Linked DNA regions of Macaca fascicularis. The protein of the gene in region 1 binds, or shares a complex with, the protein of each later gene. Links are inferred from orthologs where the notes say so. Each region holds a gene or a part of one and is shown in the gene's direction. Other genes may lie near its edges.

Evidence for each region. Proteins that work in one complex are often made in the same cells at the same time.
Region 2: the proteins of GPR161 (region 1) and GNAL are in contact, whole or in part, in a cryo-EM structure (PDB 8KH4), measured with the Homo sapiens proteins. The link is inferred for Macaca fascicularis from reciprocal best matches to the Homo sapiens genes GPR161 and GNAL. Residues at the interface, in NP_001254539.1 of Homo sapiens: Arg125, Ala128, Val129, Leu130, Pro132, Met133, Tyr135, Pro136, Met137, Ile139, Ile211, Val214, Ala215, Lys218, Ala219, Lys267, Ala268, Thr271, Trp327, Asn328, Lys329, Arg332; in NP_001135811.1 of Homo sapiens: Ala41, His43, Lys203, Val204, Phe206, Phe363, Cys366, Arg367, Asp368, Ile370, Gln371, Arg372, His374, Leu375, Gln377, Tyr378, Glu379, Leu380, Leu381.

Annotation. Positions count from the first base shown.
Region 1 is NC_088375.1:25,801,010-25,806,284, reverse strand, and holds the start of GPR161 (G-protein coupled receptor 161), read left to right. Parts: upstream 1-1,834; 5' UTR 1,835-2,124; coding exon of another isoform or gene 2,125-2,131; exon of another isoform or gene 2,132-2,356; intron 2,357-2,680; exon of another isoform or gene 2,681-3,131; coding exon of another isoform or gene 3,132-3,271; intron 3,272-5,275. UniProt on the Homo sapiens protein: Key negative regulator of Shh signaling, which promotes the processing of GLI3 into GLI3R during neural tube development.
Region 2 is NC_088392.1:79,223,456-79,228,756, reverse strand, and holds the start of GNAL (guanine nucleotide-binding protein G(olf) subunit alpha), read left to right. Parts: upstream 1-2,060; 5' UTR 2,061-2,367; coding exon 2,368-2,719; intron 2,720-5,301. UniProt on the Homo sapiens protein: Guanine nucleotide-binding protein (G protein) involved as transducer in olfactory signal transduction controlled by G protein-coupled receptors (GPCRs).

The DNA of each region.
Region 1 (5,275 bases):
AAATAAATAGAAAAATTGATACGTATTTTATAAATTTGGACACATTGTATGTAGAAAAAGAAGACAGCTATGAGAGAGAGAGCAGAGATCAGAGAATTTCTTTTAGATTGGTCAGGGGCTGAGTGCAGTGGCTCACATCTATAATCCCAGCACTTTGGGAGGCCAAGGTGAAAGGATAGCTTGAGCCCAGGAGTTAAAGACAAGCCTGGGCAACATAGCAAGATCCCATCTCTAATCAAAAAAAGGAGAGATTGGTCAGGGAAGACTTCTCTGAGGAGGTGACATTTAAGCTGAGATGTGAAGGGCAGGAAGGGCTTGGCCTGTAAAGAGTGGGGGAAATAACATCCCACGTGGAACAAATAGCATACTTCACAATTTTGCTTTCACCAGTTTTATGTGGACTGCTAGACTGAAATGATATTTTACATAAAACATGTTTCATATATAAATTATTCAACACACATGTGAGGTTCAGTTGGACATGGCCTCTCATTTTAGTTTATAAGTCTTTGTGGATGTCTCTAAAACAGAATGGTTTATTAAACTAATTTGGGAAAGGAGAATTAGTGTGTATCTTTCTCTTTTTCTGAAAAAAAAAATACATTCTTGCACAAAAGCAGTCACGTTTTTCACAATTATCACCTATACAATGATAAACAGTGAAATAATTACTTTAATAACAATTTGTTTGTTTTCTCTGCATCTGACTGAATTCACTCATAGCTCAATATTAACTCCAGAAGGGAAAAAAAAATCTTAAGACAGCAATTGAAAATGCATTTGTTGGCAGCAATTTCTATCCCTGAATGCACAGTAAGTTCTGAGCTTATGAGCTCAGAAAAAAGAAAAATCTTTGTGATAAATAATGTATTTGATAATGAGCAGCAGGAGAAAAAAAAATGTCTTCTGTTGAACAGTTCAAAATGAAATAGAGTAAGTATGGGAAAAGGTTGTTCAGTATGAAGGACATCTTTTGCATCATGAATGGGTATGGAGCCAAAACAGCCGTAACTGTTTATTTTTTACTCTCATTCTTGCCATGCCAGTCCATGGCATATATTTTCAGACCTTTCGTGAATACCAATTTTCAAAAGGGTTTAGTTCTCCGAATTTATGACACTGGTGATTTAGTTACATGACCTCATTTGACCTTTTCAACTCTACAGATAGGAAGGTATGAGTATCCCCATTTTGTGTATGAATAAGCTGAGACTCAGGAAGGTTAACTCACTCCCTCAGGCTCATAGAGCTTAGCCGACAGCTGAGCCAGTGTAAATTAAATAAATAACAGGGAGTTCAAAATAAGTGTCTAAAATACTCTTAAGAACAGAAAGCTTTAAGCTCCTTCAAGGGTCTGGCTTGCCGGGTGACCTAGACTCTAAGTGGAGTGTCAGTTTCCAGTTTTTGACCAAATAAAGCATTTATCCCATAGGAATATTAAGGCATCCATTTACTTTTTTCTCCCCATTATCCCATTTGTCCCCGGAGCAATGTGGGTGTTTGGTAGGTGCCAGACAGTAAATTACTGTTCTAAATGGTGCCTCAGTGGCCCAATAATATTAATAATAAGGAAGCATCTCCCACAGTGTCAATCTGTAGACAAGGGAATAATTAATGTATTTATCAAAGCAGATGGATTTCAGAGGAATGTGAATCCTGCTGTAAGCACAGCACCAGGGTTTTTTTGTCTTTTTTTTTCTTTTGCTGAAGTTTAGTGAACTGGGCTTTATAACTTCTTACCTGATTATTTTGTTGCCCTGTTTGTCCTTCCTTCTTTCCTTTTTTAGCAGTTCTACTCTGTGCTTCAACTTTCCATCCCCTTATTAAGACTGCTGCATAGAAAACGTAGGAGGCTGGAGACAGGCAGGGAAAGTGGGGAGTGAGGAAGACAAAACAAACATTCTGAGAAGGAACTGTTCCGTCCCCCGAGCTGACAGCGCCCGCTCTTTGTTTTGTGATGACTGCTCCCTGGCCTTTTGGCTCCGAGGGAGTGCAGGGCAGCAGTGTGAAGACCTGTTTACGTCCACTCCCCACTCCCCGGGGCGGATTCACTGTGGTATTCACAGAGCCCGGGACAGAGCCTGGCAGGACGCAGATGGATGCTCGTGCCCGTCGGCTGGATGAATGAAAGGTGAGCAGCAAAGGCGATACCAGGATCTTCCACGGCGGGACTGGAGGAGGAGAATGGGACTGTGCGGAGCCTGCGGGAAGAATCTGAAAGTGTCTGTGTGATGCAGAGAGACATGGAAAAGGGGACGTCCCAGCGGCTGGAACTGGGACGCAGGAACGGGAACAGGGAAGGCCTAAGTTAGGGACCACAAAGGTTTTCAGGAGAAAAGTGCAGCGAGCCGAGAGGGTAAGGGCGAGACAAAGAGCAGCAGCCGAGGCTGTTCGTGGGAAGAAATGGGAAAGCAGCAGCCGGGAGGGCGGGCGAGCTGACGGACGCGAAGGAAGGGGCGCGGGTGGGGAGGGGCGCCGGGAGCCGCGCGGGGCGGGGCGGTGCGGGGCGCGGGGAGGCGACTCGGGGCTTTGGGGGCCGGAGGGGCCCGGCCGGGCGTGGGGAAGGCGGGGCGCGGGCGCCGCAAAGTTACTTGGCCTGCGTTCGCCCGGGTCCGCGTGCTGGTGGCTGGCCCGCGGGAGGAGCGAAGCGGGGCTCGGCGGGCTGAAACCCGAAACCTCCAGTCCCGGAGCGCGGCGGGGAGGAAGGAAGCGGCGGCGGCGGTGGCCGAGGCGGGGAGGCGGCTGGGCCGGGGCCTGAGCTGCCGCGGCAGCGGCTCCTCGGTGAGCACTCGGCGTGGGACGCGGTCGCGGGCCCGGGCCCGGGCGGAGAGGGAGGTCGGGATGGAGCCGGGCTAAACTCATTGTGCGGGGTTGAGGGCTCAGGTTGCGGGCCGGGAAGGGTCCCCGCCCCCACGGCGCTCCCCTTCTCCTCGCGCCCCTCTCAGGGGTTGGGGCTGTCCTCTGGCCGCACTGCGCCTTGCTTTGGAGAGCTGGAGCTCTTTGTGGGAAGATGTTGGGGGCGCGCCCCTCGCCTGCGGCCTGGGGCTTCTGAGAGGCCCACCCCATTCTACTGGGTGCAGCCCGCCCCCGTTTCTCCGGCGCCGCCCGAGGCCCCCTACCCAGTCCGCTGGATGGGAGGGCGTAGGTGCGTGCCCTGGACTCGGCCGATGCGGGCCGCGCCCCCTGGGGCCAAGAGACTTCACGACCCGCTCAGGGCAGAGGGTGTGGGGAGAGGCGGTCACGCCCCTCGGCTGGAATCCGTGAGGACCAGGTGAGCAACCTTCTCCCAGCCGGGACTCAGGGCGCTGTCTCCCCGAGCCTGGGCGGACGGCGGATGGCGCGCCCAGAAGTGGCCCGGCGCCGCGGGGTGGGCGGCTCTGCCTCTCAGATCTGCGGGAGGGAGATTCGGCTGGTTCTTGGAAAGGGGAGGACTTGACCAGCCCTCGGCGCCCTCTGGGCCAAGCTTAACCCCCGTGCAACCTTTGGACAAAGGCATATGGGATGAGAACGTCTGTGGGATAAGTGGGGTGTCTCCTGTGTTTCCCGGAGGTCTGCTTACCAGTAACCACACAGCTGCGCATTGGCATCGCTTTATATCACATCTTGGAGGCTATTTTTGCTCGTTATTGTACCTTTCATCCCTTTTGCAAAGTGCTTTCAAGAGCAGGTCATTTGATCCTCCTCCCTGTGAAGCCGTGAGGAGGTGTGTGGTTTTGGAGGGAAAGAACCTCAGTTCCTTGATTGTCCAGTGGAGACACTGATAACCTCAGGTGAGCCTGTCTCAGCGTGCTAGGGGCTGGGGGAGGATGGCCATCGTTGTGGCTCCTCCGTGGAGCCAGGCGTGGATTCAGCCCGGCCTCTTCTCCCCTAGTGACCTGGACCTCCAGATGAGTTCTGGAGAGCTACTGCTTCGGGGGAATAGGCGGTTTTCCCTTGTAATCTATTTTACTGCAGCTACTGGGAGCAAGTGAAGAGAGGCATTTTTCAGGCCCTCAGGGCAGAAGGAGGAGGTGGGAGGGACCTCAGGTCACAGAGAAAGAGGCTCTTCAACTGTAACTGGAATCCATGGCACCCATTTCTGTTACTTCTTCCAGAGCACCTCTCCCGGTCCTCCTCCACACCTGTCTTATTTTATACTTGTCAGGTGCTTACAAGCACTTTCATATACACTTCTTCCTTCACACAACAGCCTTGTGAAGCTCTGCTAGCCCATTTGATAGGTGAGGAAACTGAGGCTCAGGAGAGATGAAGCATTCTTGCCCAGCTAAGTAAGCAGCCCAGATTGAACTCAGATCTTTTGCCTTGGTAATGCTTTTCACGTGGTTTCCTGATGGCACACAGGTGGGTCCTTTAACTCAGGGCTTCTCCCTGCCCTGTAGCTCCACCACCATAACATCAAGAATAGAGACCCCTCATTAAGAGGCCTGCTTGACATTTTGGAACTAAATCCAAGGCCGCAACGATATCCAAACCGTTCTCTTTGTGTTGCAGTCTGGTGCACTGGGAGTCCTCTGAGAGGTGAAGGAGCACTGTGTGGTCAGAGGGCTGTGAGCTCTCTGTTTGGGTTCCGAGGAAGACAGAATGGGCTGAACTGGAGCTGACCTAAATGTCAGCAAGAGGAGGTACAGTTCTGTGGTGTAAACGCCACTGCCAGTCGGGACCAGTCAGGAAGCCTGAGTGCAGGAGGCTGGTGGACAGGAGGGCTGAGTGGGAGCTGTGTGCTGCTAAGCCTGTCTCCAGTAAGGGGGCAGCTGCAGGTGCGGTAGGGCTCCATCACATGGTTGCCTGATCTTAGTTTTGGGGGAAGCTGTAAATTTTTACGGAAAAAAAGCTTCATATGTTTTTAAAGATAGCAACTGATTCAAAACATTTTTTTAAATGTGCATGCAGTTTAACCAAATTATGTGTGCAGGCTGCTTGTGACCTGCAGACTGCCCTTTTGCGTCTTCTGTGTGAGACCTTTGGAAGCTCTGACTGTCATTCTGAGATGCAGTAAAGCATGACAGCAGGGGAGAAATGGTGTCTTCTTGCTGTTTTTGTATAAGAACAAAAAACATCAACAGAACTAGAGATAGCTATCAATGCTACCTGGAGTTTGGAGGAGGGATTGACTTTATGACTCCATACTTCATTCATTCAGCCAGTACTCATCTATGATTCTGTTTCTACACCAAGAGAAAAGGCTTACAACTAGTTTTAATCTATTTCCTTGCACATTTTATGTGCTCAGCAGGGGAGAGGACGGCATTCATGGCAAATATGTTTAGGGAGTGCT
Region 2 (5,301 bases), on another chromosome or scaffold:
AAAATTAAAAAAATTAGCCAGGTCTGATGGTGCACACCTGTAATCTTGGCTATTCTGGAAGCTGAGGCAGGAGGCTTACTTGAGCCCAAGAGTTCTATATTGCAGTGAGCTATGATCATGCCACTCCACTCCAGCCTGAGTAACAGAGAGAGATCCTGTCTTAAAAAAAAAAAAAACATAAAATATTTGTTTTCATTTTCAGCTGGTTTTAATATACAAACAAAATGTTATCCTTCTTGTATGACACTGATAAATGTTAGCTAATAAGTTGTAATAGAAAAGCAATTGCGATAAGTCTCTGGGGTCTCAGTTTCTTCAAAAGCCTTTTCTGCCTCTCACACGACTCTTCCCCACCCCGATTTAAACAGGACCTTCCCTTACTCTGAGAATCCTGTTTTTCCCCTTCATGGCATTAGCGCAATTTACAATTAACATATTTACCTGTGTTTTTATGACTGAGTATATTTCTATCTCACTAGTCTACAAACTCCATGAGGACCCATGTCTGCCTCACCCAGCACCAACAAGGATGCCTAGCATACTGCAGGCACTTAATTAAATGGACAAATGGACAGATGGATGAGTGAATGAATAGTGAAAATGACAATGATATTTAGTAACTTTTTCTATTTTCCCAAGTTAGATTTTCTATAATCCTTTCTTTTGCTCAAATATCTGAAAGTATGCCATAATTTTAGCAAAATTTGGGGAACAATGTTAGGTCAAAAGCAGTACATGTATGCACATTTGTTATTAGCAGGACCCCCAAAAGAAATGTGAATGCCGGATCTCCAACTTCTTGATTTAAAAATGTAATCCAGGCCCCGCGCGGTGGCTCACGCTTGTAATCCCAGCACTTTGGGAGGCGAGGTGGGTGGATCCCTTGAGGTCAGGAGTTCGAGACCAGCCTGGCCAACATGGTGAAATCGTCTCTACTAAAAATGCCTAGAAAAAAAAAAAAAAAAAAAAAGAAAGAAAGAAAATGAAAAATTAGCTGGCAGTGGTGGTGGGCGCCTGTAGTCCCAGTTACTTAGGAGGCTGAGGCAGTAGAACCACTGGAACCCGGGAGGTGGAGGTTGCAGTGAGCCGTGATCGCACCACTGCACTCCAGCCTGGGCGACAGAGCCAGATTGTCTCAAAAAGAAAAAATGTAATCCAATGTAGTATTTACATCTAGTGCCAACGGGTGCAGTGCACACTGCGCTGCATGCTACGTTTCATTAAACAGCCTAATCTGGTGTGTTAATAAGAGATGTATTTAACTATCAGTTATAATATTACATGTCATTTTCCCGGAAATCAAGGAACACATCTTACAGCAGGTTATTCACAAGCTATATTAAAATGTTCACCTGTTGCAGAAGCTCTACAAGATGCTGTGCATGCAGTGGGAAATAACCGGAGACATGGGACCTCTGGCGGGCTTGTTTCTCAGCGTCATGGAGAGAGCGCACCCAGTCTGAAGGCGCATCTGCTCCTCTCTGCGCTATATTGTGGATTAAGAAAATACAGTGTACAATCTCATATTCTCATTTCAGCAAATATAAATAGTACATGGCAATTATATGTGCTCGGTTTTCATTTTTAAGGGTGGAAATTGTTGAAAATGGTGTCGTGGACCAGACTCCAGAATTGGAGATTTTGTAGAGGTCAAAGGTATAGTAGTATTAAAGTAGGGATAGAGTGTGCGGGTATGTGTGTAAGATAATGAGCAGAAAAGGGAGTGGCAAGGTGCAGAGATCTCTGCAAGCAATGGATTGGGGAAACTGAAGGCTTTAAAGCCACGGTCGCTATCCCTGCACCCAGCTTTCCGTCCTCAGTTACTATGACCCAAGATCAAAGCCACCCTGGTTTTCTAATTGCCGCAACTGCGGCTCCAGGTGCTGACTGCACAGCCACTGCGGTACTGTCCGCAGCTGCGCGCCGGGCTCAGTCGGCATTATTTACGGTACAGAATACTCGCCCGCGCGGCGGTATTTACGGTAACGAAAGCCAGCTGTATTTACGGTAGCGAGGGCTGGACCGGCGGCGGCATTTACGGTAACGGGGCCGGGCTCGCTGAGGCCCGTCGGCTTGGCCAGCTCTGGGCGTTATCAAGTGATCTCCAGCCAAGGCGGCCGCCACCCCCTGCACCCAGCGGAAAATGCAAAATGGCCCTCTGGGGCAGTGAGGGGCCGTGGCCCTCGGCCCGGGCCTGCCGCACCCCCTTCCCGCAGCTGGCGGCCGGCAGCGCTGAACAGGGTCCGGGTGTAGCCCCCTCTCGCCCCTCCGCAGGGGCGCCGGCCTGAACTGGGCGCGGGAACCAGGCCGCCCTCGGCGCCCAGCCCGCCCTAGTCCCGCGCGCCGCCCCCGCCGTGCCGCGCCCACATGGGTCTGTGCTACAGTCTGCGGCCGCTGCTTTTCGGGGGCCCAGGGGACGACCCCTGCGCGGCCTCGGAGCCCCCGGTGCAGGACACGCAGCCCGCCCCGGCCCCGGCCCCAGTCCGGGCGGCCGCAAGGGACACGGCTCGGACCTCGCTCCCTCGGGGCGGCGGCGGGAGCCCGGCATGCGCTCGGCCCAAAGCAGACAAGCCGAAGGAGAAGCGGCAGCGCACCGAGCAGCTGAGCGCCGAGGAGCGCGAGGCGGCCAAGGAGGCGAGGAAAGTGAGCCGGGGCATCGACCGCATGCTGCGCGAGCAGAAGCGCGACCTGCAGCAGACGCACCGGCTCCTGCTGCTCGGTAGGTCCCGGTCGCGCGGTCGGCTCACGCCCGGGGGACAGCGCGCCGGGCCCGCGGGGTTGGTGGGCGCCGGGGAGCGGCGGCCGGAGGGGCTCCTGAATCCCGGGACTGGACCCGGACGGGCGGCGGGCGCGGACCGGCTGCGGAGCGTTTAAACTGGGGGGGGAATGGCTCCCCTGACCTGGCCGGGAGGACGCTACGGGCCGGTTCTGCCGCTCCCAGTGCCTTGAGCTTTTCCTGCCGCTCGCTCGCTCGCTCGCTCGCTCTCATTAACGAGCCTCTCTGGGAAGTCTCGCCCTCGACTGAGCGCCTTCCGCAGGGTCTGATCCCCGGGGATCTCTACCCTGGCCTCTCACTTCCTGCTGCACGCGGAGGCTGGCGGTCTGGTTTCAGAACACAGATGAAAGGAGATGGATAAGGCCTTTTAGCTTGACCGCAAAGCTTTTATTCCAAGCACAGTGTTGTGGGTGGGTGTGGCCTGCTACCTTTTGAGAAAGAACTTGAGCTGCACTTGGGTTTTACTGTGGAGGCAGATCAACCCCGGCTCTGGGAAGTTTGCTCCGCTGGAGAACCAGCGGCACGAGGGGGTGGCGGCCCCGGCGTGCTCTCTGTGTAACCGCGTGCAGGAGGGCGGGCGCCGAATCCCGGCGTTTTCAAGGAACCAGATGCTTGCTCTCCTAGTAGTATTTTTCAGAGCTTACCTATAGCAAGTACGTGTGCTCCTACAACAATCAGAAAACATGGTTCTATGCACTCTACCGTAGAATGAAAAAAAAAAAAATCACGATTTCCTGATACTACTTGTTGCCTTTTAAATTTTAAGACGAAATAATAATAATTGGGCTTTTGATGGCAATTTTGTGAGATGTAAGGAAGAATAGTCGTTCAGGTCTATGGTCTCTGCTATACATGGAAGAGAAGGTATTCCATTATTTTAGCAAGATGCCTGCATATAAATGAATGCAACTTTCATTTAAGATCTAGAAGACAATAAATACTGAGTTTGAGAGGACTTGTCCACTGCACTGCAAGAATTAATAATTTAAAACAACATAAACCTAGCTGTTGTATTCTGGTGAATGAAATATCTAATTTTTAAAGCAAAGGGAAATGTTTTTGAAGAAACAACAAAAACCAGTAAATACGCAGGTTATCTCAAACAGCGACGTGGGCTGAGCAGTAGCAGAGCTGCCCCCTCCAGTGCTCACCTGCAGAATATCGCAGAGCACACGTTTCCAGAGGTCTGAGGATACAGAAGTGTAACTTTAGAATTTCATACCTTGTTAAACCGTTGTTGGTGTGTGAGGGTAAAATAAATCTTTGGATATGCAAGTATTCAAAGTATACTCTCATCCACATATATTTCTGGAAGGAAACTTAAAAAAAAATAGAGACAGCGGCAGCTCATGCCTGTATCCCAGCACTTTAAGAGGCTGAGGCTGGCGGATCACTTGATCTCGGGAGTTGAAGACCAGCCTGGGTAACATGCTAAAACCCCGTCTCTACAAAAAATACAAAAATTAGCTGGGTGGTGCGCTGGAGACCCTGTCTCCAAAATAAATAAATGAATGAATAAAAATAAATAAATAAATTGAGACAAGTCTCACTATGTTGGCCAGGCTGATCTCAAACTCCTGGTCTCAAGTGATCCACCCACGTCAGCATCCTAAAGTGCTGAGATTACAGGCATGAGCCACCGTGCTCGGCCTGGAAAGACGTTAATTGGAAATTACTTCAGCCAAAATTTTTTAAATGCATTAAATTAAAATAATTCAAAAAGGGGAGAATTTTTTTAAAGGGGAGAGAGAATCATCATCTCAAGAAACTAACAAAAAACAAGAAGACAAATAGGATCAGGAGTTGTGACAACCCAACGTTGTTTTGATGTGATTATACAGTTGAACATAGTTTAAAAATAATAAAATGATATGGGAAGCAGAAAATGCTTTCTATATAATAAAAATTATTAGACTATGAATCTGTGAAAAACATGGGATGAGATATGGTCTGAAGAATAGAACGGTGAGCTCTAAAGAGTCAGCTTCTTGTAACACATTTGAAAGTACGCTTTGAAGACATCATCTCATAGCCTCATAGAGTTTATATATCAGCATCATAGCTAAAGTGACATAAAATCAAATAACTCACTTTTCAGGGGGAGTGTATTGTATCCTCCACCAATGATATCTACACTAAAACACATACTGTTACATGGGGTTGACGTTGTTTATCCGATTTTATATAGATTTGAGTTAAACACACAAAGGTTCTTGATTTTATTAGGCTTTAAAATGGATTTAGCTGGAAAATTTTGAGTCAGAAACATGACTTATTGACCATTAATATCCTCGGATAATTGCTTCTGCTGCCATTGTGTATAACAGCCATTTATTCTTGCTCACTGACCGCATTCATTTGTTTATTCTGGAAATGTGCACCGAAAGCTGGGCATTGGGTTCAGAGACCTCAGACCCAGGGAAGGTGCACTCACTCCAGCAGTGTCCTATTTTATTTTTTTATTTTTTATTTTTTTTTAATCCCAGCACTTTAGGATGCTGAGGTGGGCAGATCACTTGAGGCGA